3 linked regions of the Drosophila melanogaster genome follow. The gene in region 1 interacts genetically with each later gene. Each region holds a gene or a part of one and is shown in the gene's direction. Other genes may lie near its edges.

What was found.
Region 2: of Ctr1A (region 1) and Grx1, changing one enhances a phenotype caused by changing the other (phenotypic enhancement), as found in Drosophila melanogaster (one study listed by BioGRID).
Region 3: of Ctr1A (region 1) and ATP7, changing one suppresses a phenotype caused by changing the other (phenotypic suppression), as found in Drosophila melanogaster (2 studies listed by BioGRID).

Annotation. Positions count from the first base shown.
Region 1 is NC_004354.4:6,657,123-6,670,312, forward strand, and holds Ctr1A (copper transporter 1A), read left to right. Parts: upstream 1-4,524; 5' UTR 4,525-4,679; intron 4,680-5,117; exon of another isoform or gene 5,118-5,219; intron 5,220-6,541; exon of another isoform or gene 6,542-6,639; intron 6,640-7,877; 5' UTR 7,878-7,922; coding exon 7,923-7,956; intron 7,957-8,039; coding exon 8,040-8,251; intron 8,252-8,316; coding exon 8,317-8,564; intron 8,565-9,117; coding exon 9,118-9,147; intron 9,148-9,727; coding exon 9,728-9,929; 3' UTR 9,930-10,506; downstream 10,507-13,190. Other genes in the region: Cdc7 kinase, read left to right, coding at 485-2,033; CG3224 (uncharacterized protein), read right to left, coding at 3,562-4,050.
Region 2 is NT_037436.4:18,862,183-18,870,557, forward strand, and holds Grx1 (glutaredoxin 1), read left to right. Parts: upstream 1-7,047; 5' UTR 7,048-7,148; intron 7,149-7,155; exon of another isoform or gene 7,156-7,244; 5' UTR 7,245-7,320; coding exon 7,321-7,464; intron 7,465-7,524; coding exon 7,525-7,629; intron 7,630-7,694; coding exon 7,695-7,790; 3' UTR 7,791-7,875; downstream 7,876-8,375. Other genes in the region: CG6865 (uncharacterized protein), read left to right, coding at 1,539-1,605, 2,074-2,412, 2,726-3,021, 3,084-3,239; CG14074 (uncharacterized protein), read left to right, coding at 4,157-5,167; Dysb (dysbindin), read left to right, coding at 5,698-6,463, 6,522-6,622; Blos3 (biogenesis of lysosome-related organelles complex 1, subunit 3), read left to right, coding at 8,126-8,188, 8,246-8,375.
Region 3 is NC_004354.4:11,850,291-11,860,504, forward strand, and holds the start of ATP7 (ATP7), read left to right. Parts: upstream 1-4,731; 5' UTR 4,732-5,061; coding exon 5,062-6,031; intron 6,032-10,214. Other genes in the region: p24-1 (p24-related-1), read right to left, coding at 1,340-1,972; CG10347 (uncharacterized protein), read right to left, coding at 2,567-3,051, 3,111-4,368.

The DNA of each region.
Region 1 (13,190 bases):
AATAACTTATACTATTATAAACAGTAGTAAAAACTGTCAAATTAGGTTGTACGTTGTATATTCCATATATGTCACAAATATTCAGCTAAAAATAGCTAGAAATCAGGTCCGCACTGGTTCTACGTGACGTCGAAGAATCACTCTCCCTTTCCATTCCTCTCTCCCTCTGTCTCTCTCTTTCTCTCACTGAAATGGAGTGGGCGGAAGTGTGCGTGGGCGTCTCTGTTGTTGTTGTGGTTTTCCCACACGGAACAACAAAGCAACATAAACAAGATGGTAAAGCTGACTTGCATAAATCCTGCTGTTCAGTTCAATTAATTTGATGTGTGACTAGCTTAATCACATTAACTACCCTTAAAGTTAATCAGGGTTGGTGGACACCTGTTGCTCAAATCACTGGTTGGGAATTACAGCCAAAAGCTGCGTATTCAAACTATAACTGCATAACTAATCTATTGTTTTCCCGCTCTAATTCGCTTCTCAGGGGAAAGGAGAACGTGGTGGGCATCCACTGTTGCATGCGTTATGACGCCTCCGCCGCTTTCGTGATGCCCTTCATGGCACATGACCGATTCCAGGACTTTTACACGCGCATGGATGTGCCCGAGATCCGGCAGTATATGCGCAATCTCCTGGTGGCACTGCGTCATGTCCACAAGTTCGATGTCATCCATCGCGACGTGAAGCCGAGCAACTTTCTCTACAATCGACGTCGGCGAGAGTTTCTCCTCGTCGATTTCGGTCTGGCCCAGCATGTGAATCCTCCGGCTGCGCGATCTTCCGGAAGTGCCGCCGCCATCGCCGCAGCCAACAACAAAAACAACAACAATAATAACAATAATAATAGCAAACGGCCACGAGAGCGCGAATCAAAGGGGGATGTGCAGCAAATTGCGCTGGATGCTGGTTTGGGTGGAGCAGTGAAGCGTATGCGTTTGCACGAGGAGTCCAACAAGATGCCCCTGAAACCGGTCAACGATATTGCGCCAAGCGATGCGCCGGAGCAGTCAGTAGATGGGTCCAATCACGTCCAGCCACAGCTAGTGCAGCAAGAGCAGCAACAACTGCAGCCGCAACAGCAGCAGCAACAACAGCAGCAGCAACAACAGTCGCAACAGCAGCAGCAGCCGCAGCAGCAGTCGCAACAGCAGCACCCACAACGACAGCCACAACTGGCGCAGATGGATCAAACAGCATCGACGCCATCTGGCAGCAAGTACAATACGAATCGAAATGTCTCGGCAGCAGCGGCTAATAATGCCAAGTGCGTTTGCTTTGCAAATCCCTCAGTTTGCCTCAACTGTCTGATGAAGAAGGAGGTGCACGCCTCCAGGGCAGGAACACCTGGCTATCGGCCGCCCGAGGTTCTGCTCAAGTACCCAGATCAGACCACTGCCGTGGACGTTTGGGCGGCGGGTGTGATATTCCTTTCGATCATGTCAACGGTGTATCCGTTTTTCAAAGCGCCCAACGATTTTATCGCGCTGGCCGAGATTGTAACAATATTTGGAGATCAGGCGATACGGAAGACGGCCTTGGCTCTCGACCGTATGATCACCCTGAGCCAGAGGTCCAGGCCACTGAATCTGCGAAAGTTGTGCCTGCGCTTTCGCTATCGTTCCGTTTTTAGTGATGCCAAGCTCCTCAAGAGCTACGAATCTGTGGACGGAAGCTGCGAAGTGTGCCGGAATTGTGATCAATACTTCTTCAACTGCCTATGCGAGGATAGCGATTACTTGACAGAGCCACTGGACGCATACGAATGTTTTCCACCCAGCGCCTATGACCTACTGGATCGCCTGCTCGAGATTAATCCCCATAAACGAATTACCGCCGAAGAGGCACTAAAGCATCCATTCTTTACGGCCGCCGAGGAGGCCGAGCAGACGGAGCAGGATCAGTTGGCCAATGGAACGCCGCGCAAGATGCGTCGACAAAGATATCAAAGTCACAGAACGGTGGCCGCCTCACAGGAGCAGGTCAAGCAGCAGGTTGCCCTTGATCTGCAGCAAGCGGCCATTAACAAGCTGTGAAACTAGTCCCCACCATGCAAACATACATACACCACTTGTACATACATACATATACTATACCCAGTTCGCTGATCATGATTGTACATATATATAGACCCACCTCAAGAGCATATCTCATTATTGCACCCAGAGCCAGAAGAAACTCGTCCAATGCCCCACTAGGCCACATTTACTTACCTCAAGCCGCAGGCAGATAAAACCAAATGAAACCACGCAACAAACACACACAACACTCACAAACAAACATACAAATGTATATTTAAAGAAATGTTTCAATCATGAACAAAATGGGCAAGGAATACCAAAAAAGCAAACGAGGAGAGATTGATTATGAAATATTGTGGCCGAAAGGCTACAAAATGTTGTATATTAAGGAACACGAAGGCGACCCAAGTGCATGGCCCTCATCGCCCAGTGGCAAAGAATTTTGCACTATCCCCATCATGTATAGTTCGAATAGTCTTGTAGCTAACCTACTTAGGTATAATTATTGTATATCTGAAAACCATGTGAACGAGGATATAAGAGCGACAAATACATATATTTATACCGTGAAGATTGAATGAAGGCCTTGATTTTCTTTGCTCCAAAAATGGAAATTTGTGCAAATTATTCTTTATTTGCTTAAACAAACAAATGCTTGGGGATTTTAGTACGCATATTGTTGTTACCGTACGTTAAATTATTCATTATATTTCAGTTGCAAATATAGGACTCATAAAATTAAAGTGTAAATTTAAATGACTCACCCTTTTCAAAATAAATCCATGCAATTAAAGTTGTACATTATTTAATTTCACATTTATTGAGCACAAATCACCTAAAAAAAAATATAAAAAAAAACACAAATACTCTCACATTTTGATGAGCCATTTCACAACAAAACACTCGCGATGGCAAAATGCACAAGATCACCGCTCTAAAACGTAGCATACTCTTAAGTGCACATGAGAATGCCAGTTGAACACGCACCAACACACCCACACACGCGCCAACGGAGAATGAGCCCAAAGGAGAATGAGGAAATTGCAGAAATTTACCAATTTCACCCGTTTAAACTAGAAATACCGTATCAAACGCATTGCGTCGACCTGCGCTCACTGGTTAATTACACTTTGTAGCACTTTTCGACAGCAAACGACGCTGATATTTATTTAATTTTAATTTTAAAGCGCGTCAGCCATCGCATTTTGTGTTTACCGCTGCTCACGGACGAAGAAAGTGACCGCTTGCGGAGAGAACTTGAACTTTTGAGCTGCAGGAGAGAAATCAAAAGAACGGTAAATAAAGCTTTGCCGCTTGGAAGCGTTGAACTGCTTGTTGTTTAGAAGCTTGTTGATCTTTCGCCACCCTTGCGCGCATTAAATGAAAATTAATTTTGAATCGATTTATATATGTTGGAAAAAAAATGTATTTAAAGAAAGCAATTGGAGGTAAACAGAGTTCTGTGGGAGGGGGGTGAAGAAAGTCCTGTCCCCGAGGGCCTTAAAAACTAAGCTAGATCAATAGATTGGTTCATCCTCCTCGCCTATGTCTCCATTTTCTCGACTTTCTTGCGCTTCGTTTTGGACGTCGATGGCGAATCGGTGGCATCTGTATCCTCGGGCACCACTTCCACTCGGATCCTCTTGCCAGCGACCACGTCCTCCTTCGATGGCTGCGTTTCCATCGCCCGCTTCTTGGGCTTCACGAAGCTGCCACGTCCCGCGGCGCGTTCCGCCTCCTCGATGCTGTACGGCTCGATCTCTAGGGCCTTGAGACGCCTCTTGTGCACCTTGGTGCGGAAATGTGCCTGCATGGCGGTGTCATCGATGAAGTACTTGGCACAGTGCACGCAGTAGAACTGCGCGAATCCCGGCTTGTCGAGATCCACATTCTGATTGATCAGTTCACCGCTCCGGGTCTGCAGATCGTCGTCGATCTGGTCGAGATCACGACGTCGATTCCGCACACGCCATCTCCTCTGCAGATGGGTATCGCCATAGTGCATCTTCTTGCGTTTCGATACCATTCCCATCTTGCTGACTTTTTTTTATATTTACAACTTTTACGGAAAATTTAATCGTTTGTTTTGGCACGTGTTTTGGTTGCCAATGGGGTTTTAGATTCTGCTGCTGCTGCTAGGTGTTTCCTAAAACCTGTAATGCATTTGAATGTTAATTTATATACTGTTACAGTAATTTGTTGCTTAACTTTACCTTTTTTTGGTTAAGAAACGAGGGTTTTAAAGGTAACAAGTTAATTTAATGCGCACATAGAATGTTGGCGACGGTCCCCGGCCGATTGGTTTCTTATCGATAACTGAAGAAATCGTGGTGTGTGCACACTGATACACAGCTGTTTTTATTTATTCGAAATAAAACTAAATTCAACCAAAACTAATTAAACTAAAATTCCATAAATTAGCTACTTGTTGCGACAATAAGTTGTATAAGTTACTCATTTTTAAGCTGCACTCCATCTACTTCGTCTTTTACAATACTATTTTTTGGCATTATTTAGTGCCTTTTCGTAGGCAGCGCACTGTTAAATAAAAAAACATATGCTTGCAATTAATTCATCAACAATCGTGCGAACAAGTTGTCTGCGGGCGGACCGTGCGCATTTTGTTTTAATATTATTTATTTCCTTGCCGCAGGAAGTAAAGTAAGCCCCTAACATTTGAATACATAAACATAGAGTTCGGTTTAACTTGCGTTGATAAAGTGCAATTGATAATACAAATAGTGGGTGTGTGGGCTGGACGCACACACACATGTGTGATTGGATAACAACACTGTGAAATAGATCGGGTTTTACACTTGCAAAAACGATTAAAGCAATTATTATTTTTCATAAGATGCTGCAGCCGGTCCACTCTTGCTATCTCGCTTGCTTCAAAAGCTCAGCGTTTGCAGTGAGTGTGTGTGCGTGTGTGATTTAGCGCAAAAAGCAACAACGAAGCACAAAATAAAATCAGAAACTGTGATTGTTGTTAAATGACTGGTGCAGGGGGTTGGGTGGGTGTCAACGGCAGCTGCATGCATTGTTTAAAATGTACGACTGTTGGCTTATTGGCATTTTTCGTTGACTCTCTGTTTTTAGCTAGACATTCCGTTGAGTTCGTCACTTAAACCGGTGTTACAGCATACATACATACATACATTGTAGATTGTTACAACTCGAGCCAATTGCCCGCCAATTGCAGTAAGTACAACAACAACAAAAAGAACGCGAAATGCGTGAAATAGTATAAACGAAACTAAAAACAAAGCTTAGGAGTCCTTATCGATAATCAGCGATTGCATACCGATTGTGATTATCAGTGCCAATCGCTTATCAGTCAATTATACCGTTACAAGCACAATTAACCCTCTATCTGTGTTCGTGCGTTGAGTGATATATGTATGTTCGAATTCAGATCAACAAACTCTCTCCTACTCTCTTTTCTTTACACATGTGATATAATAGCTCCCCCGGCCTGCAATAGAAAAAAAACACACGCACTCTCGCCGTTTCTCTCCCATTTGTTGCTGCAATACATGTCGGTCACGATTTGACATTTCGCAATTGGTGCGATTGTGAGTGTGTGTGTGTGTGCAGGAGCAGAGGATGGGGCTCTCTTGGCGGAGATCAGCTGATGAGATGAAGCAACGGTTAATGCCATTTGTCCATGCAAATAAACAGAAAGAAAAAAGTTTACGTTGCTAGATCGTTTAAATTTCACTTGATATTTGGAACTAAATTAAATTTTAATTCAATTCTTATTTTAATTCTTTAATATAATATGAATAATGAATCACACTTCATCACGTCGTGAAATTCCATTTTCAAACTTATATCAAAATATCTTAGCTATTTCGCTGAGTCTTAGCATTTAGCATAATAGAAATATTACTGGTAAACGCAGATTATTCATTATTACTTGCCCAAAATAGAACTAGAAAATATACAAATCTTAAACAATATTTAGTGATAATGGTTTATTTCATGATAAGAGTAACAAATGCTTTTCTCTCTGTGTAAAGGCAAAGCTACTAATGCAGGCGAATAAAAGCGAGAGTGATAGAGGTGAATAGGTCCAACCGGTTTGGTCCCAGTGCGTTAGTTTTCTGCTGTTTAATTATCAGAGGCGCTGAAAAGGGGGTTCCCATTGCCTCCCAAAGAAAAGCGCCCAAACGATTTCCTATCAGGGATTCCATAGAAACCAAACAAACCACAGAATGTTATTTATAAACCACGCAAATTTACCCTGAACTTTAACTTTTCTGTATTTTTGCACCAGAATAATAGTTTTTATAGTTTTTCCCCACCGCCACTGTGTTCAATGATTATTTCCAAATCGAACTACAATTGCTGCATCCCAGAGTAGCAATTATGTGGCGTATGTTCTCTGCTTATGGGTTATTTTGAAAGTCGTTGGTTGCCGTACCGATCTTTGTCTTGAAAAACAAATTACTACCGTAACCGAGCTAATTTTCCTTTCATTTCGGGCCAAAACCGAAAATAGTGGCAGCCAAGCCAACCAGTTAACCAGTTGTGCCAGTCCAGTTCAGTTGGATAACTATTGAGTTCATCGCTTGAAGGCTAAAGCAATCCGTTCCTCAACAGATCGCCGCATTAAGAGGTTTTAAATGTACACTTGTTTACCTATTTTTATAGAAATTTCGCTCCTCAGAACAAAAATGCCAGCGAAGCGGGTTTTTTTTTTTTTTTTTTTTTTTGTACCACGAGTGGATTTCTAAAGCTCGTTTGTTTGTTTTAATGAGATATGGGATGAGATTGATTACAGTGAAAAGGGGGAGGAATACGTGTTTTAACTCTTCAATGGAATTGGCGAATGTGATTGCTTGCAATATTAATGCGGACTGGATTATTGTTTCGACCATTTCAACTTGACGACAGTTGTCCACATTACGGATATCGAAGGAAGTAGGCCACAATTTCAAAGGAATGGATCATTAGTTGGGATCATTTTTTAGAGGTTTTTGCCTATGTATGCCTAAACTCATATCAGTCAGCCGCACATCCTGTCATAGCAGCGAGCTTCTTGGACTGCATGCCACAAGTGGTTCGATATTCGAGCATGTTTCACTGATTACTTTGCAATGTGGTGTCGTCGCAGCACCTTATCACTAAAACTGCGATATTAACTGAATGCGGTGAACCACAGACACAGAGGCAAACAAAAAAGTGAAATAAATGAAGTATCCAGCACTGTTTAATTATGGTTCGCAGTGTTCCCATTTGCAGAAGTGGAACAGCAGTTGGTTGAGTCGTTAGCGACCCATTATAATCCAGGTTAATCCAAGGTCAGATATGGTGGTAGTTTATGGCGGGGGTGTGGGGAATCGGGTGTCGGGTCTGCCTCACGCAGTTTCCTGTGAATGGAGCACGCAGAGTTATGTGTGGCATTTTCATTTCACATTCCCCAGTTACACAGTTTTACCCAGCTACACATTTCGCATTCGTCATTGGACATTCCCTTCGAAGATGTGAAAGGGAAAGGGCGGAGGTTGGATTGTTCAGAGATTGACTTTCTAATTGAGATATATCGGTTTTTGATGCGATTTGGGGCTTGGCAATTGACCCGCAAAAAAAACACAAACTTTAGACTTACAAAAATAAAAATAATATAAAAATGGTCAATATAATATATATGTTACAGTGTTTATATTAGATAGTAATAACAGCTTAGTTGCAAGATTGTTTTGATCTTTAAACCTTTCATGGGGAATTTATATAGAGAAAGCTCTATTATCTTGGCCGCCATTGTAGCCATTGCTATCATTTATGTACATTGTTTATTATTCACTTACGAGTGGCAAAGACTTAATGCGACTTTCACTCCGTTCTTCTTTGCAGTCATTAATCGCAGATCCACAATAAGAAGTCGGTTAACCAGCTGCTATGGACCACGCCCATCACAGTGCGCCCGGTGTTGGTAGGTGTTGTGTGATTTGGCCAAAACATTGAAGATGCCTGCTTAGCATCTAGCATCTTATCTATATCATTCGCAATCCACAGATCACTCGATGCATCACGATCATGTGGGCATGCACCACGATCACAGCGGTATACCTGCTGCGACAGCGTCTCCAATGGATGCAGCTTCCATGTTCGACCTGATCCCCGATACCAGCGATTTGCAGGCAAGTCACGCGGGTCACGCCGCTCACGGAGCGCACAATCATGGCGGTGGCTCTGGCACGGGAATGGAGCACATGATGCCCATGGCGGTAAGAGAACGTAGTATTTGAAGAATTTTCATTTCTAACCAAATAATGTTCCTCAATCGTAACAGTTCCATTTTGGCTACAACGAGACGATCCTGTTCTCCTGGTGGCACATCGAAACAGTGGCCGGTTTGATCGGCTCCATGATCGCCATCTTCCTGCTGGCCCTAATGTACGAGGGACTGAAGTACTACCGCGAGTATCTATTCTGGAAGACATACAATCTGCTGGAATATCGACCTGTGACGGGGCCACAAAGAAATCCGGAGGCACCGCGCATACCATCGCCGGCAGCGGCAGCTCCATCGCCCGTTCAGTGAGTTTCGGATTTTCTGCTACCCATTGTAGAATGGAATGGATCATATTGGATCTTTGGTATCCCCTTCGCATGCCTGTTGCCCTTACCCATACTGTAGCTTTGTATCTATTGTATTTACTTAACTTGTTGTATATATTAATCTTAATGCTTTCTTCTCTCTTCTCGTTTCGTTTTCGTTATGCTGTTACCCGTTAAATCGTTCAAATCGTTACCGCTACCGCTTCACATTCTGATCAATACCATCAATATCTCTATCTGCATCATCATCAATGCGCGTCGTCGCTCTTCATTTGTAAATTGAATCATCTCGACAAAAAAAAAAAAAAAAAACTAAACGAAACCCAATTCAAAACCAAATTCATATCGATACGGTCTGCCTCGTTAATATCGTATAATTGGCCATTGTTGTGATTCACGCGACCGTAATTGAAACTAAACATATATATATTGTAACTCAATTTGATTCTGTATCTGCATCTGCATCCGCGAATCGCATCCGCAATCGTGTGGTGTCCCTACTCCCGGCACGCTTCGATCGATCCTTTCTTAGATACGTGGGCGAAGTTGTGCACAAGCAACCGTAAGTATCGCTCCATTGACCACACCATATGTATATGTACACCACTTGACCACCTGCCCAATCAATATACATACATACGTACATATGTGTTATATAGATTACCGTCTCTGTGTAATTTTGATGCCTCACTACAATTTGAATTAGTTAAATCTATTTAGCTGTTGTTGGCTATCCGATATGTCCGATATACCCAATGCGCCAGTTAATGGGAAAAAGTTAATGGAAACAACTGCGCTCGGCGGCGACGATGAATCCGTGTCGGTTTACAAATTGGCCCGTCATTTGTACAGAATATCTGGCTGGACCACAAGATATAGTATTACACACCTGTAGCTCAAGTTGGCAATTAATCTAGAGAGAATCTAACCCTAATCAATAATGGTAGTTTAATCTAACAATGGAAATTCTTAGAGCAGCTCAGCGATATATAAATATATATATATATATATAGTCTTTAGCAATACTTAGTTCTGTTTTGATTTTTGTTTACGTTCAATTATGTATATTTTCTTGTCCTGCTAATTTTGTTCGATGTTTGCTTTAATTATAACTAAATGTAAAATTCTTTCGATATGAACAGACCTTCGATGCTGTCGATTAACCACCTGCTCCAGACACTGCTGCACGTGCTCCAGGTGACGCTGTCCTTCCTGCTCATGCTGATCTTCATGACATACAACGTGTGGCTCTGCCTGATGGTTGTCCTGGGCGCCGCCGTTGGTTACTTCCTCTTCTGCTGGAAGAAATCGGTTATCGTGGACGTAACCGAGCACTGTCACTAACAGAGAACGACTCCCGGTAGCCTAAGTCGCTGTTGTCTTACCGAGATGGAAACGGAGACGGAGGCGTTGGAGGAGCAAATGTCCATCTGAATGAAAGGCAGAGGCATTGGTGCTAAGCTGGGAATCCCAGGAAGCTCTCATCCCCACAGGAAACGAACACACGCATATATACACACGATCGCACTTCAACAAACCTTGCAGCAATTGCAGCTGTTCTCTAGGTATTAGCCTATAAACTAAACTAAATCGATGCAACCGCGCTGCATCGTTTACAATCTTTAAAATATTGACATCAAGATCAAGATAGTCTATGCTATTAGTAAAGAAAAAAGTGTAATTATATAAAAGAGAACAAATTGAGCGACTGGCTAGCGAATTGTATAAAGTTAAGCAATGCAAATATTATTTTTTCCGTTGCTACTCAATTTATATATGTATGTGCGCAGGATTCCCCCAAAAAGCAAATATTTTTTTTTGATCATTACTACTGATATACACCATTTTGTAAACCAATTATACGATTATGATTATTATTATTTTGTAATAAACTTCATTGTTTTTATATAAATATATATATATATAAGATATATATTTCACTTTTGGTTTGTTAGTCCCACAAAAAGACAACACTGTTAAATTTGGCTTCCTTGTGAAATGTTGACTTGGCCGCGAATGTTTTAAGGCTTGATTGAGTGTATGCTTCAACAGTGCGTTTCATGAGTGTAATTGGTGTATGCAAAGGTTAGCATCGATTTATGCTCTGCATTTACGTGTTGTTCAGGTTCAACTGATATTACCTTAGGCTCGAAAACAGTTACTGTATTATTCAATTAATTTTAACTGCTAATTGTAAATTGTTGTCTGTTTGTTTTTTTTTGCAAGTTGACTCCGTAAAAACAGTCGTACGATTTTTGCTCAATCCGAAAATGGCTGTTGTGAAATTGCTTTCCTAAACGAATGGCCGGCCATCCCAAGTGCATATATATTTACATACTATGTACTGCCTTAATGTCCCGAAACGCACTGTAAGCAGCATATGTTCACCTGATCCATTGAAGTGCGTAAATAGATGTTGTAGATATTAAACTTAATGCAAATACATACAGTAAAGCGACAAGAAATTTATAAATACTATTAATATTAAATATATATTAAATCTACATATACATACATTAATGAATAAACAAACACAATATTGTTACAACTGAAACGAAAACGTCTTTGAAATGGAAAGTTATGGAAAACGAAGAGTTTTTTCTTTTTATTTTAGCACGCAAAGATTAACAACAGAAAATTTTGTTTTTCATTTTTCGAATCGTTTTTGATCGATTACCTATTTTATTTTCATTGTCACGATCGTCCATGCTGAAAATCTGAAAAGTCTAGTAACAAACGCGCATGATTTTACATTACCGCTGGCTGGTGCGCTTCGTCACTACATTTATCATGATTGCAAAGAAAACAACGGATTGCTGGTTTTTTTTTTTCGGGATTTAGTTTGATCTTTATTAGAAAATTATTGCGAGTCTCTCAATAGAATGTGTTTATCCTTACTCATATCGTAATTCGTAATTAAAAACATCTTTACATGACTAAAGACGATCGATCAAGTTTTATTGATTGGGTTACACTATTATACTTAAATCTGCCTTCGTAAATGTTCCTTAACTCTGTTTGCCCGATGCTAACTCAATTCAATTGATTAATTTGCTACGTAATTGTGGGTAAACAATAAAAATGTGGAGTGTTGGGTTAGTGGATGGGATCTGGGATGCTGGCAGGGAAGAGGTGTGTTCCTCGCAGGAAAAGGGATAGAAAAAAGGAGCTTATCCTGCGCGGACACAAAACAAAAGCGACCATACATTCATATACATATATATATATAATGTATATATGTGTACGGTTCAAATTGCTCCATAGTATTTTTCGTTAACTGACAACCCGGCGTTTTCAATGCAATATTAATTTTGATCCAAGGATGGGTGGAAGTAATGGGTATAGTTATAGATATATGTATATAATATAGTTATAAGTAGTTGAGAGAAATGGAAATTCACCTCGTTTTGTATTATGCCTAATACAGTTATACACGAGTGTCTCTCTCTCTCTCTCTCTCACTGTCTCTTTCAGCGTTCTCTAGCACTCTGTCTCTCTCTCTCTCTCTGTCTTTCTCTGATCACTGAAAAGTGATCGTTCGTTGATTTCCTGATTGCGTTTTATGGATCGAGGAGTGCGGTTCACGGATCTCGGATCTCGGATATCGCCTTCTCTGTCGTGAAGAAACATTTATGTGTGGAGGTGTGGCATAGAAGTTACCTGGTTGGTTCTTCTTCTTTATCTATAGACATATGCATATCTTCCATATATATCTTCCTCTTTCTCTATACATATATATACACATATATATATGTATATATATATATATATATATATATCCCTCGCATTTATTTCAACACTTTCGGGCTCCTTTCCTCGGTTGGCGGCTTCTGGAATACGTTTGCAGAGAGGAAAGTGTAAGTTAAGTGAGCCAGACAAAAGTTCGGGGCAGTTAAAGGTGGATAGCGCATCTTAGACTAATTTCGAGCTGAACGTGTATATAGATTGATTACGTATACGTATTCAGAGTTCATCTGAGTGTGGGGTTTATATATATCTTAGATTGTGTGGCACGAACAGTACAAAACATACAGCTACGGGATATTCGATTGGTTTTGGACGGAGATTTAGCCAACGGCTTATCTCGTCACATCACAAAAATTCGATTTAATCGAGATCGATATCAAATATCAGTATCATAATTTTTATGGGGTCGGGTTCAGTCGCAATTTACCTGTTGGTGAAGAGGAGGGGGGAACATGAACATACATACATGTGTATGGGTTTGGGGACTCGAACTCTCTCTCTCTCGCCCTCTCTGTCTTTGCACTGTTTGCTGTCTCCCTCTGATCACTGCCTATGCTTGTGCTTCTTCATTTTGCATTGTATATTGTATTTGATTGATTAGAATTTAATTCGATTTAGCAATTCAATTACCTCGTGATTTTTCGTGGGTGTCTTGGAATCTTGACTTGAAGAGTTCGCTGGGGTTAGTTTTGTTTTTGTTTTTTTTTTTCAAGCTTAAAAAATAGAGTATAGTGCAGGGGAAGGATGGGAGGGGGCGGAAAACCACAACAATGAGTTAGGGATTACAAAAAAAAATAAATAAATAACTGCAATATGTAGAGTTTTCACGACAAGCCGATGATCCTTTTCCAAGTTTAG
Region 2 (8,375 bases), on another chromosome or scaffold:
GGCGATTTGTTTAGTGAATTAGCATTTAGTGCGAAACAGAGCTGCCGCGATCAATGAACTCGATTGGGATGCTATCTGGTTTTCGGTTAAGGAACCAAAGTCATGAAATCAATTAGTAATTCTGGCATACTTGTCTGATCCACTGAACTGATTTGTGTGCTCCGACTGAGAATCGAGATTGTGGATAATGAATTATTAATGCCTTGGTCTGTAGATTTGTCATACTCCGTCTTAACTTTCAGTTTCAATTCCAATTCCTGCTTTGCCCACTTCAATACCCATCATTTTTGGCATGCTATTGCTTATAATACATATTATGTCATAGAAATGCACTTCCACCTGCATTTATCACTTTGATATGCGATGGATGGTGTATCAACCTTCCCATGTCGCCAATTGCATTGAGTGTGTGGGCCATGCGTTAGTTTTAAGGGCAATGTTAATGTCAAGCGGCTAATATTACATTGATTGCGCCGACATTGAATTTCAATTAATTTTTGGTCCCATCACAGTATTCATATGCAGCGCAGACATCCTAATTTGCATAACAGGCCCGATTACTAACTACCAGGTCTAAACTGATGGAAATATGACGTCTAAGGTTAGCTGCAATGTGCGAACTAATTGTGTCAAATGCAGGCAATGACATAACTGTAACGATTACGCAAATCCTAGAAACTTTTTTAACTTTCTTAAGATAGATTAGATAAATTAGATCTTGTAGGAACACAAAAATGCATTGTAAATCATAAGAACTGAAGAAATAAAAGATACTACATGCAAGCAAAAAGAAATTTAAAATCAAAAGAGTTGGTTTTGAATCATTTATAAAATTTTCTGTAGTTATGCAATAGCATTTCAGTTGATTAACAAGTCATAATAATATTTACACCCTTTTCTTTATTAACCATACAACAATTTCAATAACACCCTAAATACGTGCTAATCGCAATAATAATGTACTAAAATAAGGATAGAGGTGCAATAAACTCGTAGTGGTGGCATCGAAAATTCAGCATAAATATTGTCACACCTTTTGTCGCGCACTTTTCAATGTCATGAACTTCGCTGGGTCATAAAACGCAAAACACACAAAACTTTATTTCGGCCATTGTTTACTTTTGGGTTTGTTTTCGACTTTTCGGCAGCTCCTTAATTCACCCCCCCCCCCCTTGGAGCAATTGAAATGCCATAACGTGTGCACATGGCACCCATGCCCACAATACCAGCAAAAAAAAAAAAGGCGATGAGACAGGTAGTGCAGCGCAAAAAAAGCTCTCAGCTGAGGCAACAGGTGCCAAAGGCCCGGCTGCGACTTCCGTTTGTTATCAGGCCGAGAGAGCGAGCTTTCCGGCTAATCCGCATAGAACTCCGGACGACAGTGAAGTAAGTCAGTGGAACGGAGAGGCGCTGGACGCCCAGACACCTATATATAAATTAATTGCCGCACAGAATATTCGTGGCAGTTTCGTTTAAGCTTGAGCCGTGCTTAACGGGTTTTTTTTCGGGGCTAAGAACACTGGTTGTGCACACAGAAAATGTTGAAAATCGTATTCGTAGTCGCGGTTCTGTCGCTAGTGAAGTGTGCACAATCCCAAATTGCTTGTGAGTTGATTGAACAAATGTGACGAAAAGAGTAATAAGTCAAATATAATATGAAAAATAAAATAATTATAGTTCCTAAATTAGGATTCCTGGGAACTACCTTTTAACTTTTAACTTGTGTTTAATATTCCATTCATTTTTGCAGTCCTTAATATTTTAGGTTAGTTTATATCAATTAAGAAAGCATGATCTTTTAGCATTGTGGATTTATATGCTAAATTCACTGGATAAATCTAACATCTAATGTTCCAATTGCAACAGTTTATGCTTCCCTATTTGATAAGAACTCAACCTACAAATATTTCAAGATTCTATCAAAACTTGTATAATCATAAAACGTGCATAAGGAAAAGTTTACTAGATTATGAGAAATATAAATAAATGCGTTCTGCTTATATTAACTAATTATTTTCAACACTCCTTATCATGAACTCACGCAAATTGAAATTCCTCTGACTCCCATGACAGTTAGCAACCAGCCATGCTCGGTTCGAAATCCAAAAATCGTGGGAGGTAGTGAGGCGGAGCGCAACGAAATGCCCTACATGGTCAGTCTGATGCGTCGTGGTGGTCACTTTTGTGGCGGCACTATCATCTCGGAGCGATGGATCCTCACGGCGGGACATTGCATCTGCAATGGGCTGCAGCAGTTCATGAAACCAGCTCAAATCCAAGGAGTTGTGGGTTTGCATAGCATCAGGGAGTACCTCAACGGGATTGGCAACGGTCCGGATGCACTGAGGGTGGACTTCAAGAACATTGTGCCCCATCCGCAATACGACTGCAACGATGTGAAACACGATATAGGTATGTGTGTTTTTTAAGGGGTAATTGCAGGTTCAATTATTTTCCATATGTACAGAACTGAATCATAAATCAACAATATGACATTAACATGACATTATTTTTCAGTAAAATGAATAAAAAATTTTAATCTAGTAAAACACCATTAAAAATATGCGCTTAGGTTTTAAAAAAACAAACAGAAATACATAGGTAGGAAATAGTTTCAACAAAGGATATTAACATTAACCATAATGAATCAGAGACGAATCAAATAATACTTATTATTCTTAGTATTCCTTAAGCTATTGCAAATTGGTATTTTATTCTTTTACAGCCCTCCTGGAGCTGGTACAGCCAATCCGATTCTCTTCACACATCCAGCCCAGCTGCGTGGGATCCGAGGAGGGGCACCGAAGTCTGGAGCAGGAGTACGGAACAGTTTCCGGTTGGGGCTGGACGCACGAGAACCAAGCGGAAAACGATCGATCCGATGTACTGCGCAAGGCTACCGTTAAGATCTGGAACAACGAGGCGTGCGAGAGGTCCTACCGATCCTTGGGCAAGAGCAATACCATTGGAGAGACACAGTTGTGTGCCGGTTATGAAAACGGTCAAATCGACTCGTGTTGGGTGAGTATTCACTTGGCTGATACGGCACACATGTTATGCTCCGGGTTTACTTACCTTCACAGGCGGATTCTGGCGGTCCGCTGATGTCCAAGGAGCATCATCTGGTGGGCGTGGTGTCCACGGGGATCGGCTGTGCACGTCCAGGTTTGCCCGGAATCTACACGCGCGTCAGTAAATACGTGTCCTGGATGCAGAAAGTGATAGACGGCAGGAAATAGTTGGCCAGGAATCTGAAACATAAAGATTGTGATTCACCTGTGATATTAGTCGTACTCGATTATGTGATCTTCTTCAATAAACGTTACTTTAACCAACTAGAAATTCAATTTATTGCGGCCGGTCGTCATTTTTTAAACTTTAATCGATGATTGTGCCAATCGATATCGTTGGACTAATTTGTGGTATTTTGCAGAAAAGATTACTCTGACAATATTAATCGACAAGAATATCGCTAGTGTAGGAGGAACGGAGGAACGATGGAATTTTGAATAATTTATTCTTTCATTATTGAATTCAAAAAAATGCAATAACGTTTAAAAAAATATCTAACTACCTATGTACGACTTAAGTTCATAGGACTCAAGAAAGTATATGAAATATGCACTTGAAAACTTGGCTCCCCACGCTTACTGTCCCACCTGCTGCCCCGCCCGACCGACTGTCACCCGTGGCCCAACGAATGTCTTGACGTCTGCCCCGCCGTTTCCCTAAAGAAATGTCCTTAAAAGTGGTCACGCTCTACGAGTGGAGAAATTCCCGAAAATGTGGGAATAGTTAGTAAGATCTTTATTTTATTTTTTGCAATTCACCTCCAAATAACGAAAAGAAATAAATAAATAAAAAACGTCCCCATGTTTTGATTTCCACCGTTCCGTCATCGCCGCGAACTCATCGACGCTAATTTAACGCACATACAATAATCGCTTTATACTTAGTATTTTAAAAATACTTATAAGTAGCACTTACCGTCCGCGGTATTTTTTGTTTCGCAGCAATTGGTATTCAATTAAATGCCATAAACAAACACAAAAAATGGAAATGGACGCAGACCTAACAAAGTAAATATTTATATTACAATCCGATATATTTTTAATTAATTTGATGCTCTCACGTTAGTCAGGCGATTGCCGAGCTAATGCGCGAGATCGAAGGTGCAAATGCCAGTGTCAGCACCTCGAAACAAAGCGAACGCAAAGTGAATCCTCTGGGCAAACTAAACAAACGCTTCTTAGGCCGCACCATAAACACCGCGATTCGGCATAATGATAGAGAAAAGGAGCGCACACAGGCAAATTGCCGACAGAAGCTGCAGGATCTGGATGATGTGCACGAAAGGAGGAAGTCCAACTACTTTTACAGCCGCGATGCACCCAGAACTCAAAGTGTTGATAGAAGCAGAAGTTCCAGCAGAAGGCGCAGCAGGAGCCGCCACAAAAAGGCCAAGAAGCATCGCAGCCGAAGAAGAACTAGGAGCAGCAGAAGTTCAAGCCGCAGTCGAAGTCGCAGCAGTTCACATCGGCGAAAAAAGCGCAAAAAGAAGGTTAAAAAACACAAAAAATCACACAGAAGACGAAGAAGCAGCCAGAGCAGCAGCGGTTGCGATTGGGAATCCGCACCCAGCGAGTCGTTACGTATACCCCCGCCTTCAGATGTGTTCCTAAACCACTCCAAGCAAATGGCTCTTGCAGTGGCCATGGCCTATGGTCAATTACTAAACCCGAGCAGCCAAAAGAAAGCCAGCGAGTCTAAGGAACACTCCTCCTCTCCTATAAGCGATATATTCCGGGAACTTATGTCCGACGAAGAGGTGGACAAATCCGAGAAGCCCGAGGCCCTGTCCATTTCATCCAGCGACGAAGAGCCAAATGTTCTCACCATTAAAGTAAGCTCGAGCTCCGAGTCCAGCGGCAATAAATCAAGCTCGGACTCAGATTCAGAAGCAAAGAACAGCGTACGCAGCTGTATAACCCTAGAATCTGGTGATAATAGTGATATTGAGATAATTGAGTACCATGAAGAGCCCAAAAAAAAGGCATGTGAAACTGAACCTGCGTCTGAACCTGAATATCCGTCTCAATCGGATAGCACAAATCAACAAGTGGACGATAGCACAGCTGTCACTACAGTGGACCTGACCGAGGATTAATTAGGCTAAACTTTAGTTAGAGAATCGTTATGTAAGATCAGAATGAAATTTTAAAGGAAACAAACTGAAGTTGAACCAAACTAAGAATATTGTTTTTATATTATTATTACAGATATAAGCTCTGCCATAGATAGATTCATATTTGGTTGGTTTTTTTTTAAGTTATGTTTAATAGTAATATACTAAATATACCACCGAATGATACCCTGTTGTGTCTGTTTATAATATCAACTTTGGGTTCATTTTTTTATTTAAATTATAAAATAAAAATGCAAAATTTGAAATGTTAATAATACTTATTAGTTTTAGTAAGTAATAAAAACCACGTGCCAGAGCTCTTGCCATAGTTGATATGCCTCTCGTGTACGGCAACAAACTGTTGCTCTCTCTCTCTCTCTATGACCGATTTTCTCTCAGCACCTGCCCGAACAGCTGATTCTTTATTTACCACTCAATTTTCGATGGAAAACGCCAGCGCGAAGACAATTAGAAATCGCTAAGTTAAATAAATAGAGATCCGTTGTCGCAAGATGTTCGGGAACCTGAAAAAGAAGCTTAGCAGTGCGATCCAGGAGGGCCTGGTGATCTCGGAGAATCTGCAACAGCAATATCGCCAGCGTGTCAGTTCCGGAAACTCGGGGAGTAGCCAAGCCAGTGGGATTACGACCCCCATTTCGCCACTGGGCCTTAACGAAAGTCTGTCGTCCAGCAGGAGCAGTAGCCTCTCCCTTAGTGCTCCCTTCCAGCTAACCGATGGAGTGCCCAGTCACCTAAATGTGGCAGCTGGTTGCAGTTTGCTTGCCAAATACGAGGATGATTGGCAGCAGATTCATGGCGCCAACGAAAAGAACGCGGAGAAGGCTGCGCAGATTGCTAACCAAATCTCCGGCATCCAAGACCAGGCCAGCCATCAGCACAGGATCATGAGTGAGCTGAACAGTAGTCTGGCGGGAATTCCCACGTTGATAGCCCAACTGCAAAACAGCTCACAGGTTCTTAATTCCCTGGAGGAAATGGGTAAGCAGTTGGAGATTGAGCTCGAGAAGCTGGAGGATCTGCGCGAGGAGTGTGAGCTCCAAGAGTTCATCCTTGAGCAGCAGTTTCAGCTCTCCCGGCACAAGCAAAAGAAACTGAACGAACTGGAGCAGTATCGCCAGCAAATAGCCCAGAAACACCAATCCAAAATCAAGGATCAGGAGCAGACCCTCCTGAAGCTGCAGAGGGAACGACAGGCTGTCTTCGACGACGCCTTCCGGGAGGATATGGAGGAGTACAAACAGCGCGGCCAGCTGACAAGTTAGTCTGATAACATAAACAAATATGATGCACTAAGTTAACGCCCCTTTTTTTTTAGAAATTCAAACCACCAGCAACAAGTTGGCTCTGGAGGAAGTCGTCCTTGAAGCCAACGAAGTGGAGACAAAGGATGCTCTGGAACAATTTCTAAATGGCTAACTCACATTGTTTGCTCATCTCGCAAAAGACTACAATTTGTGCCTTTAAGTGCAATAAGCAGTGTAATTGTTAAAATATTTTAACGGGGACTTCTGAAAAATAACTTAATTTTTTCACAACATTTTCTTACTGCATTTGAACGTTAAACTATTACATTAAAGGGAATTGGACATACAAAGATTAATTATCAATGCCAAATTATTTTAACATACAAGGCATTTTAACATAATTTGTTAAAGTAATTTCAAAATTGCTTTACTATCTCGGACAAAATATAGGCAAATTTAATATAAGTTTCAAATAATGAAGTCAAAGTAAAAGTGAATTTTCAGGAATCCCCCTAGTGTATATGAAATTTGTTGATGTGGCACCGTCACTGCATGTTTTGACAGCGCTGAATAAACATTGTTTTTATAACAGTCGATTTTCTCTTTTCTTAATAGACACACAATAATAGATTCCTTAAACTTAGCATGATTATATGGAAATTAAATTAAATATTAAACATGTTTATGATTACGAGATGGTAATTTCACAACGTGGCAGCTCTGGCGAGAGCAACAACAGCTGATTGCTAATCAATGATTAAAAAACTGATTAAATTAGAGATAATTCTCCGCAGCTTACACTTGTCGCAGCTTTCATTGCTCCCCGCATTGCCCCCCAAGTTTCCGTACCCCCTCCTGGATTTCGAGCTTATGGGTGCAGTTGGATCCGCTTTGAGATCCCCAATAGTCGACATGTCCACCAAGCAGGCGAAATTCGTTGAAAACACCATTGCCAGCAACAAAGTGGTGATATTCAGCAAGACCTACTGTCCCTACTGCACGATGGCCAAAGAGGTGAGAAAGTTGCGAGACCTTGAAAAGTCCCAAACAGTGATAAACATCTTTGCGTTCCAGCCCTTCAAAAAGCTCAATGTGGACGCCACCATAATAGAACTCGATGGAAATCCCGATGGCAACGAAATTCAGGCAGTTCTGGGCGAGATTACCGGTGCCAGAACGGTGGGTGCACTAAATATTTTACATTATAAAGATTAATTATCATTTGTAACCTGTGTACTGTGTAGGTTCCCCGCGTCTTTATCGATGGCAAATTCATTGGCGGTGGCACTGACATCAAACGAATGTTCGAGACAGGAGCTCTGCAAAAATATTTCCAATAAATAGTGTTCTTACTCTGTTCAGAACTCCGTTTTATGTAAAAAGTTTGTTAATCTTCAAAGTCCTTAATAAATGCTTTTAAAATTTATGTTTTGCGCTTATTGAGATTACATCGTCTTCTGAGTAATGGGCAAAGTGTTACTAATACCATTCATTATCCGTTAATAATTTTTATGATTGTAGTTCTACGGATCTGTTAGCATAGATATCACAAACATAAGAATATCCCCTTCAACTGCGCCCATGTGAGCAACAGTTTGCAGTTTTAACTGATCTGGCAGCGCCGTAACTGCAGTAAATAAAAAATTGTTTACAATAGTATTTAATAAACTGAATGATGGCTGATTTGGTGAGCGGTGAAGCTTCTGAATCCGACGAGGAGCTGCAGGAGAAGAATAAGGTTGTTGAGGATATCATTTATAAATAACAGTCCAATAATAAAACCATTTTGTGACAGATTTTTGCTGCTGAAATTTCGGGCGAAGCCTCCGAAGAGGATGATGAAGACATTTACGAGCAAGGCCGAAGCAGCAACCAGGTCAACAGCACGGCTTCCATTTACCGGAATAATCTGCTTCAGCGGAAAC
Region 3 (10,214 bases), 5.2 Mb from region 1:
GTGAATTTATCATTGATACTGCATTTAACAAATACACAATATAAATTTGCTTGGCTTTAGCACTTTTTGCCCGAATGGGGCAATAAACAATTTACTACCAACGATGTGTCAACTGTCATTGTCTTGGACTGATTTAAATACTATTAATTGGCCGGCAGACAAACGGCGCTATTTGCATACCATTTATCGCATTTGATATCTGGTCATATATGTATATTTATTTGGCAATGCCATATATGCGATGGACAAAAGATCTGCGAAATTCCAAAAGTCAGCCAATGAAGATCAACGAACAAAAGATGACAGCCCGTACACAAAGCAGTTAAAAAGATTTATTACATTTCCATGTGGCATCAACGCGGCGGTGGCAATAATTTCGTTTGCATAATTGTCGTTTAGTAACCCCCGAATCCGTACGGATTTCATAATATCAATACCATTTTGATATAACTAGGTGCGAAGACCCAGACAACAGTGATATCCTCTTATCAGTTTGCAAGCCCAAATGTATCTCAAAAGTTGACCATGTTCCACGAATAATTATTATGCTGATAAGATTGATAGCACGAACAAGATTAATGCATTAATTAAAATCAATGATAATTTTTTTTTTTTTTTGATAAGGATATCCCTTTTATTCCACTTGATGGGTACGTGTTATAAGTTATCATATTCGTGGTTCCTTTAATTTGTATCCATTCAATTTGATGTCATATCTGTATATTAACTTCCTTTATAGAAACTGAAACTTAATCTAACATTCTTTTCTATTGACTCAGCTGAATTTTGGAAGATATATACGTACAGATCTTAGCTATATATATGTAGTATAATAGCGGCCACGCCATCTGAAATGGAATATGTTGATTTGCCTTATGAAACTTCAGTTGATTTGGTGTCCAGATTGAAATTAAGATACATTTCCATAGTGCTTGAATCTTTTACTGCTCGAAATATTGCTCTAGTCAAAAGGGGTTTTCGATTCGTTGTTCGATTTCCTTGGTTCTGGTCGAGATTCATGCCCCATTGACGCCCTTCTATTGAAACGCTTTGTGAGTACCTTTAGCTATCGAGTTCTGGTTTTTTTTTAATGTATTTTCTGGCCTTTTTATGTATTTTACCGGGAGGGGTCTTAACAAAAAATATTACATGTGTCGTTTAGGGAGTTTTTTTTGCCCGAAAAAGAAACGCCCTTGAGGGGGGGGGGGGGTAATGAATACGTTGTGGCTAAGACGAGATTGACAACATTTCGGGGGATTTGGACAGTTGGGTATTGGAGGAGACCCTCTCCATCCGAGGGCTCTGAACTAAGCTAGATCCCAAAATGAAACCTGATCCTCTACAGCCGCCCGTAGTGTGCCTGGCTGGGCTTTCGGTCCGTAAAGAAGTTCCTCAGCACCATAATCTGGACGAGACCGATCACGATGACTGCGGCCGTCTCCAGGGATGACCAGACCATAACCCGCTGATTGAGATCTTCGGCCCGCTTGCGACCTTGCGCCTCCCTCAGTCGATGATGCGTCTGGGCGTCCAGGATGTCGTTGAGGCCCTTGTGAATCGCCTGCGACGATGTCTCCATCTGTGTGAGCACCGTGGCATGTTCATCCACACCGGGCAGAGCCGGCTCCTCGCCCACTTGGAAGTCCACGTAGACGATCTTGTGCGAGAAGGCCGAGAATTGATTGCCAAAGCAAGCGGTATACACGCCCGTTGTCTCGGCAACGAACTGATGACTATCGAAGGTGGCCTTCTCCAGACTGTAGATGACCTTGCCCTGCGGATCCTTCAGGGTGACGTCCACGTCCAATTGGCCACCGGCCGACACCTGGAACTCAAAGTAGGCGCTCGAGTTCTTCTTGATCTCCTCGTAGAAGCAATCCACCGCGTTATCGGCCAGATCGAAGGTGAATTCGACGGCAGAGATGCAGTGCATCATCAGAGCTACCGCAAATACAACGATTTGTGTGTTCATGGTTCGCCCTTTTTGCTTTTTGGTATTCCCTGCTGGATTCGTATGATTCCCTGCTTCACCGCCTGTTATTCTTCCAGCTGCAAAAGAAATGCGCTCGGTCAGTGCCAAGATTCCGGCCAAATGCTATGCCACCTGTCATTCCAATTCCATTTACTTACCAGCCTCCGTCCGGATTACGTGACGTGTTTTTGTTATTTGTGATATGCTATCGATATCGCCAGCATTCGGCGTTTTGTGTTATTCGCCGCACGATAGGTCTGGGGTTCTGACGTGTCAACACTCTTTTCCGCCACTCGCTGTGCAGCACTGCGGACCCACGTATATGCTATCGGCTACTGAGCAGCAGAGTTGCCACTCTTTTTTTTTCTTTGGCGCCATTATCAAAAATTGTTAAGCACTTAAAAATAAACTTTAACAATAAACATAGTTGTATACATATATGATTAAAAATTTACATATATATATTTTTTTTATATATTTATATTATAAATTTTAAAAGTACTAATTTTTTAAAAATGTACATTTCAGAATTTGAATTGTAAAGCCATAATTCTTTAAGAGTAAATGGAGAAAAAAAGAAAAGCGGAACACCGTCTACACCTGCAGGTGTATCAGTTCTTTCTTGGAGAGAACGGTGATCAGATTGTTTGCCGTGGTTATGCCCAGAATCTCGTCAATCTCGTTGCCCAAGGTGATGAGCTTTTGTTTACCCAAGGTGACGGGAGGTCCGTTTCGCCTGCGGAGACCATCAGCCGAATTATTAGCCGGAAAGTAGACGAGAACGTAGCGTACAGGGTCACATATGGCTACGTAATCCAGATCCGGACTGCAGACGGTGAATTTCCGCACAACCTTGGAGGCCTGCACGTAGCCGAAGGCGTGCAGCTGGCCCTCGTGGCGGACACTCCATTCATCTGGACGACTGGGCTGGTACATCTGTAGCCATATGGAGGCGTCGACGCCCTGGCGGGTAGCAAAGGCGGCTGGAAAGCCAGGACGCAGCGTGGTGGTGAGCACCAGTGGCGGGGGACCAAGAAAAATAGTGTGGGTGATGCACCCGCTGGTCAAATTGAAGCGTACTAAAAGAAGAAAATGTATTTATTAAGCATATGCAGCAGATGTATAATAGAATGCTTACCCATCTTCATTTCTTCATCAGCGGATATTAAGTCACATTCTTCAACGGGATCCTGCAGACTTGGAATGGGCAGTGGTGGAGCTTCCATTGGATGTACTTCCTCCGCTACGTCATCTTTCTTCTGCGCGAACAAACGTGGCCAGTTCTGAATCTCCGCCTTGGTTAGTGACAATTCTAGGCCATTCTCAGCCAACTTAAATGCACTTAAATCATCTCCCACACTGGCGTATAACTCTTCGTCGAATATAACCTCATCCAGATGCTTTACAACGACAGTGGTTTTAGAACCGCTCACGTTAAACTCTTTAGCGGATGCAGTTGAAGGAACATTGAAACGAATGAGCACATTATTATCCGTTTGGGACCAGCTATAACTAGGTGGACCTCCATTTTCCAGCTGGCCATCGTGATCACCTGAGGAATTCAAGCGGGCAGCGGCTGCTTCATCGGCTGCCCGACGCTCCTCGGGAGTCTGAACATCGCGGTTGCTGGCAATGACTAGGGACTCGGCGCGAGGCTCAAAGGCGCAGTAGTGCACAGAGCCAGTGGTCTCCAGCCGTTGACAGATATTATATGACCACTCGTCATTGGTGGGCGAATGAGTCCACCGTGCCCAGGTCAAGTCCATGTAATAGACGTGCGTCTGATCTTGGCCAACTGCATCACGGCGTGCCACATGACCGGCCACCAGCGAGATCTGCTTACGTTCCTGCAGCACATCCAGCCGGGCATCGAAGAGTGCAAAGCCGCGATGACCACTGTTATTATTCACCGGCGAGCGTGTAATCCGTTGCCACTCCTGCACATCGGTGCGCGTTCTGTCGCCGGTGTCCACCAGATGGTAACTGGTTATACCGTCGCAGATCACACAGAATCGTTCCGAAACGAAAACTATGGTGTAGTTGTAGTCACCCGACCGATGTAGTTCCCCATCGCCCTGATCCCTATAGTCCACCGTGAGGACAACGCGCTGGGCACGTGCGCGTCCAGTCTGTAGATCGTAGTTGCACTGCACCAGCTGGTGGCGCTTGTTAAAGAAGTAGCTGCAGTGGCGCATCCATGGATCGGCTACCAGGTGATTGTGTCGGGCAAAGAGCTCCGTGTGCAGCAGCGAGAACTGATTGCTGCTCGGATCCAGCACGTAGGCATCACATCCAAGTTCCTGGCGAAGAACAGGCACCGAATCGAATGCCAATTTGTAGCCAGAAAAGTCCGAGCACACCAGGTTGCGATCCACTTTCAGTTCCACCACCGGCATCTTGCTTTACTGCGCCAATGCTGAGTTGGATTATATTGGAGATTTCGAAAAAATAGAGATAGATATTCCAAAACAAATCAAATCAAATCGGTAGTAGACCGGATAGAGATGGCAGATGACCGTTCGGCCGTGACTCGTATCGACTTTTTATCGACAAGTGGGGGATATGTACGATACCTTGGCAATTTTCAAATCTAATAAGATTCCTTTTTTTAGTTTGAAATTTAACTAAACAATTAAATAGCTAAAAAGAAAACATTAGTTAGTCACATATTTTTTTATCGAATCGAAAGTTTAAGCAATGTATCGATATAGCCCACATCGGTATCTAGCTCATCTCGATAGCGCCTGCCTATCGACGGACGGCCATCGGTAGTTGCGTGCCGTGGGAAAAACATAACGGGAGCGGAGCAGCTGTTGCCTGCTAATTGAAAAATTAGACACAAGAACGCAAAATTGTGAGTTTCGTGTGGAGTTTGGCCAAGTGAAAAGCGTTGGCGGGAGGCGACTACTCCACCACAACAAATCCAGTAGTAGCTGCAATACGACTCACCCGACTCCACAAAGTTAGTTTAGTGACACAATTCGGTACGTGCGATAGGGCGAGGGGCAACTCAAAAGTTCAAAATCTCAAGTATATCAAGTAATTCCGCATCGTCGTGTTCCGCCCACCCAAAATAATGCACATTGAGGATGCCAAGTGACGAGAGAGTAGAAGCGACGATGTCCACGGTGCGCCTGCCCATTGTGGGCATGACTTGCCAGTCGTGTGTGCGCAATATCACAGAGCACATTGGCCAGAAATCGGGAATCCTTGGCGTGCGCGTCATTCTCGAGGAGAATGCGGGCTATTTCGACTACGATCCCCGACAGACGGATCCCGCCCGGATAGCCAGCGATATCGACGACATGGGCTTCGAGTGCAGCTATCCAGGGGATGCAGCAGATCCTCCCGAAACTCCCGCCAGCGCATGGACCAACATACGGGTGGTGGGCATGACCTGCCAGTCGTGCGTGCGCAACATCGAAGGCAATATCGGCACCAAGCCGGGCATCCATTCCATTGAGGTGCAACTGGCGGCCAAGAATGCCCGCGTTCAGTACGATCCCGCCCAGTATGATCCCGCCCAGATAGCCGAGCTCATCGATGACATGGGTTTTGAGGCTAGTGTGCAGGAACCTCGATCGCCATCCCAATCGCCGTCGCCCGCCCCCGCCTCATCACCCAAAAAGAGGGCAACTCCTACTCCTCCACCTCCTTCATATGCTCAAAATGGTTCGGCAGTGGCCATACCCGTCGAACAGGAGCTACTGACCAAATGCTTTCTGCACATCCGAGGCATGACGTGCGCCAGCTGTGTGGCCGCCATCGAGAAGCACTGCAAGAAGATCTACGGCCTGGACAGCATCCTGGTAGCCCTGCTGGCCGCCAAGGCGGAGGTCAAGTTCAATGCCAATGTTGTGACGGCCGAGAATATAGCGAAATCAATCACGGAGCTGGGCTTCCCCACCGAACTCATCGATGAGCCGGACAACGGCGAGGCGGAGGTGGAGTTGGAGATTATGGGCATGACTTGCGCCTCCTGCGTCAACAAGATCGAGAGTCATGTGCTTAAAATAAGGGGCGTGACCACCGCCTCCGTCACACTGCTAACAAAGAGGGGTGAGTGTTTTTTGTGTACTTAAGCTAAGTGGCTTTCTGGAACTAGTTTATCCCGAGAGAATTTCAAATCACGTTCTGGGTCATGCATTCGAATCGAATTGCGAGTCTGGAAGCATTCCACAAGTGGCAGTGCCAATTGTTATGCAATATTTATAATAATAAACACCTGGAATGGGGCCATCAACCGATATGCACCTGTTGCGCTTTATTCTTGCCCAACGAGCACAGGTGTTAAATTCGATCATATATCTTGTATATCTTAAGGGATCGAATAATGCAATGGGAGTAATGAGCTGTAACAGAAGCAAACTATTGGCAATCGTTAATTGATGCAACTTGTGGCAATAACAAATATTAAATAAGCCATTCAAGGGAATTTCGTAGAATGCCCTTATTTGTTTTGCATTTCGCAGAAAGCGACAGCTGTTCCTTTTTATTAACCTACTAGCATCGAGTTCGAGTAGAATCGGTGCAAATGTTTTTTTTTTTTTTATTGTTCGCTTTTCACAATTTCCACAATTGAAAACTGGCCCAGCAATTGTTTATTGCAACTGATATACTCGATTTACTTTATGCTTTTTTTTCTGGGGAGGGTGGCAGGTTCGTTGATAAGAAAGTGCGAGGAGCACTATACTCATATGCATGTATGTATGTATGTACTTTATAAACCATACACTACTAACTATGCTTTCAGCAAACAATGCCAGTGGCAACTAGATTAAATAGCTGGAATTCACCACGCTCGTGTGCGTGGGCAGTAAAGCTATCTGGAACACTTGGATGAGGGGAATTCAATGGCAAGCCGAGAGTCGGGATATTTAAAATATTCAAGATATTCGCTAAAAAACACATAATATAATTATTGTTTTGTTGGGCGCTGGCAGCTCGAGTTTTATTTGCCAGATTATAGCGTGTTTTTTGCGAGTGTTCAGGAAGAACTTATATATACATATTTATGTATGCGATTAGCTGACAAAGAACAAATGAAATGATTTGAGCTCTTTGTTTTCATAAACTTTATACTGCCAATCGCATTTACCAATTAGCATTTAAGCCATGAAACTGAAAGTCCGCCTGGCCAAAGAAAAATCAAAACAAAAGTGAAAGAGCTCCAATACGCCTTGAAATACAAGTACATACATATAATGTATGTACATATATATGTATGAATGTATAATAATTTATATACCCGCGATTGGCGGGCAAACGAGCGAGGAACTAATCTCGCTTTTGTCTGGAAAAAAAGAGGGAAACCTCTCTCTTTTTCAGCTTTGCAGTCTTTCTGCTCCGCATGCGTGGCCACGAACTCCACTTCCACTTCGTACACAGCGAGAAATGGGGCTAACTATGATATAAGTATTATATAGAAGAGTGCTATCTACTTCGGCATATGATCAGCATATAAAATCTACTAATATTTAAAAGCACGAATCGTACAATGTTTAGCAAGTTTCTTTTATTTTATGTTAAGCACGCACTTTTTCTTCGAGTGCATTTCTAGTTTCATTCACCTTCACTTTGATTTAGAGCTGTTTTTACTTTACTTTTGCTTTGCCAGCTCAAAAATGTTGATTTGAAATTAGTGAACTAGTGGCGAATTATGCAATAACTTGGCTTTGATCCACCACATTCACATTGAATTCTGGCTGATTTACGAATATCGGTTTGCATACCCGTATTTATGTATGTACTAGATGTACGTGCGCCGTTTTGAGAAGCTCAATTGCAAATTCAAAAATGAAAATGCATAAATGGGGAGCCTCGTAATTATGATTGCAATGGAACTGGTTTTCGATTTTTTCGCATTCGACATGGAGACATGCGCACGGTGGAGAAAAGCGAGCGAAACTGTTGCGATTAAATGACACTGAAAATAATTTCAGACATTCAAAAGTGGTATGAAAACAGCGAGCCCACATGAATATCAATCGCTGGCAGCTGTATGATGGTATATAAAGTACAATATCGCTTGTTTTTTTAAAGTTTATTTGTTTATTTTGAATTTACATATATACTTATTAAGATACTTAATTGTATTGTAATCATTTTCGAAAAACAATTACGTACCAGTCATGCTTCTGAAAGAGTTCATAGATGTTTTGGGCCAGCGAAGTTGGACTTCTGCCATATGGATTGGTCCAATTCCGTGCGGCTTCTTATCTTTCAATCAATTAGCACTTAAACTTCATTTAACTAGCTTAACTTGTTGTTTGCCAATTGTTACTTGGCTTGTTTGCAGTTTGTTTGCCGCAAGTCGGTAGTCGAAATTGGGAATGTAAACTGTTGAGCAAAACATATGTTTTCCTCCGATTCTTATCGTCCGGCGATAAGTGAACGACAGAGAACGAACCACAGGCAATCTCAATTCAAATTGAAAATGTTCTAAAATTGTAACAACGAATCGCGGGCGATAAGATGCAATGGGCGGGCAAATAAAAGAAAGAAAGAACAAAAAAACTGAATCGAGAGCCCTAGAAAATGTATATTTCGACGACTGCAGTGGAACTTGCATAACTCATAAGGGATAGATTAAGATACCCACATATATTACTTTTGCTACTTTACTTTTGATTCGTTGAAATTCGAAAATGAAGTTCGAAAAAGCAATTTCTTGTGTAAACACACGAAACGCATCAATTATCAATTGAAAAGTGGGCTAAGATCGATCGGTAGCACTGATAATTAGCGACAATTGTCACATTCGGTGTGATCAACCTAATCCTTCCTCAATTTTGCACACGACCCATCGTCTGGTGTCCACTTGGTGGCCCTCTAATTGAACGATAAATAATGATATCATGGGTTCTGTCAGCTCCCAAGCGATTCCCTTTGCTTCAATCTATGCTATTAATTTGAAGGCATATCTACAGATGACTCAAACAAACCGTTGCTCTAATCTAAACGTAAATTTGCCTAGTTACAGTTTACGCGATGACGAAACGAAACAGAATGATCTTTTGTTCTATTCCCACTTCTGATAAGAACGTTGAACTAACAACGATTGCAATGAGTAGGCAAAAAGTATGCAGGCTCACAAATGTTGATAGACTGAAATGTTGTGCCTGTTAATAAAATAAAAGTATTACTAAGCGCAGCCGATGGCTAAAACCAGTTTTCTTGGCCTCTGCGAACGAGCATAATAATTCTATAATTTCTTTAAAATTATTCTTGGCTTGAGGAATAACTCATTATAGAACTGTATGATGAGTATGGTATATGGCGATTGCTCGCTTATCAATGAATCCAATTGAAGCCAGTGACAATTTCCCCTCTTCAAATAAAGATCGGAAATGTGAAAAACTAATAAGACGATGAATGGGAGAACCTACTGGGGGAATAACATAGCCAACAGATGGCAATAATGTCGAGAAATTCCAGTTGCGGGCCAAAGTTGTGGGCGACAACATGCTCTAATCATGTAGAGAAACGGCAGCGATTCAGTTTACACATTCTACATAGTTAAAAAGAAGCTATCTTATCTACAAATTGTGCTGGCGGGGAAAGGCAATGAACCTACAGCTGCGATATTTTGTGACCAAGATTCCCGGAGCCTCTGAGCCCCACGGATTTTTCTATAATCCGACTGAATGATGCGATAGTTTTTGGCCACATGTCTGCTATATGGGCAAATAATACTGCCTTAAGTTGTGAAATGAGGCAAATGTATGTAGCTCACAAACCAGAAACTATAAGCCATTGCTTATATCAAATCTGTCGCCATCGAACCGGTTGTATGCTCCAATTTCAATACCAGAACAACCGGCATTATTTCCACTCAACGACGGTGTACAAACACTTTTCATTTGACGCCAGGGAAAAAGGAAACCCACAAAAATTCCCTAGGTTCCTCTGTCTATGTCCAAGGAAACATATGGAAACACTAGCCCTTCTCCTATAGAGTTTTCGCTGGTGTCTTGTCAAAACACAGGAGTAGCCATATAAATGTGCTAACAAGCTCCAGAAACTGTGATGAAATTGATATGGCATTCAGATATGCGAGTGCACATTCAGATTCACTTACACATACTCATGGAAATGAAATCGAATATACCTGAAAAGTAGTAATATTTCAATTCCCTAGATATACAAAGCTCATGCGGCTTCATTATTTTTCTTGGCTTGTACGCTTGGCATAGCAAATATCGTTATTAAAGATCAGCAGTATATAGCTTTCACTTCAATC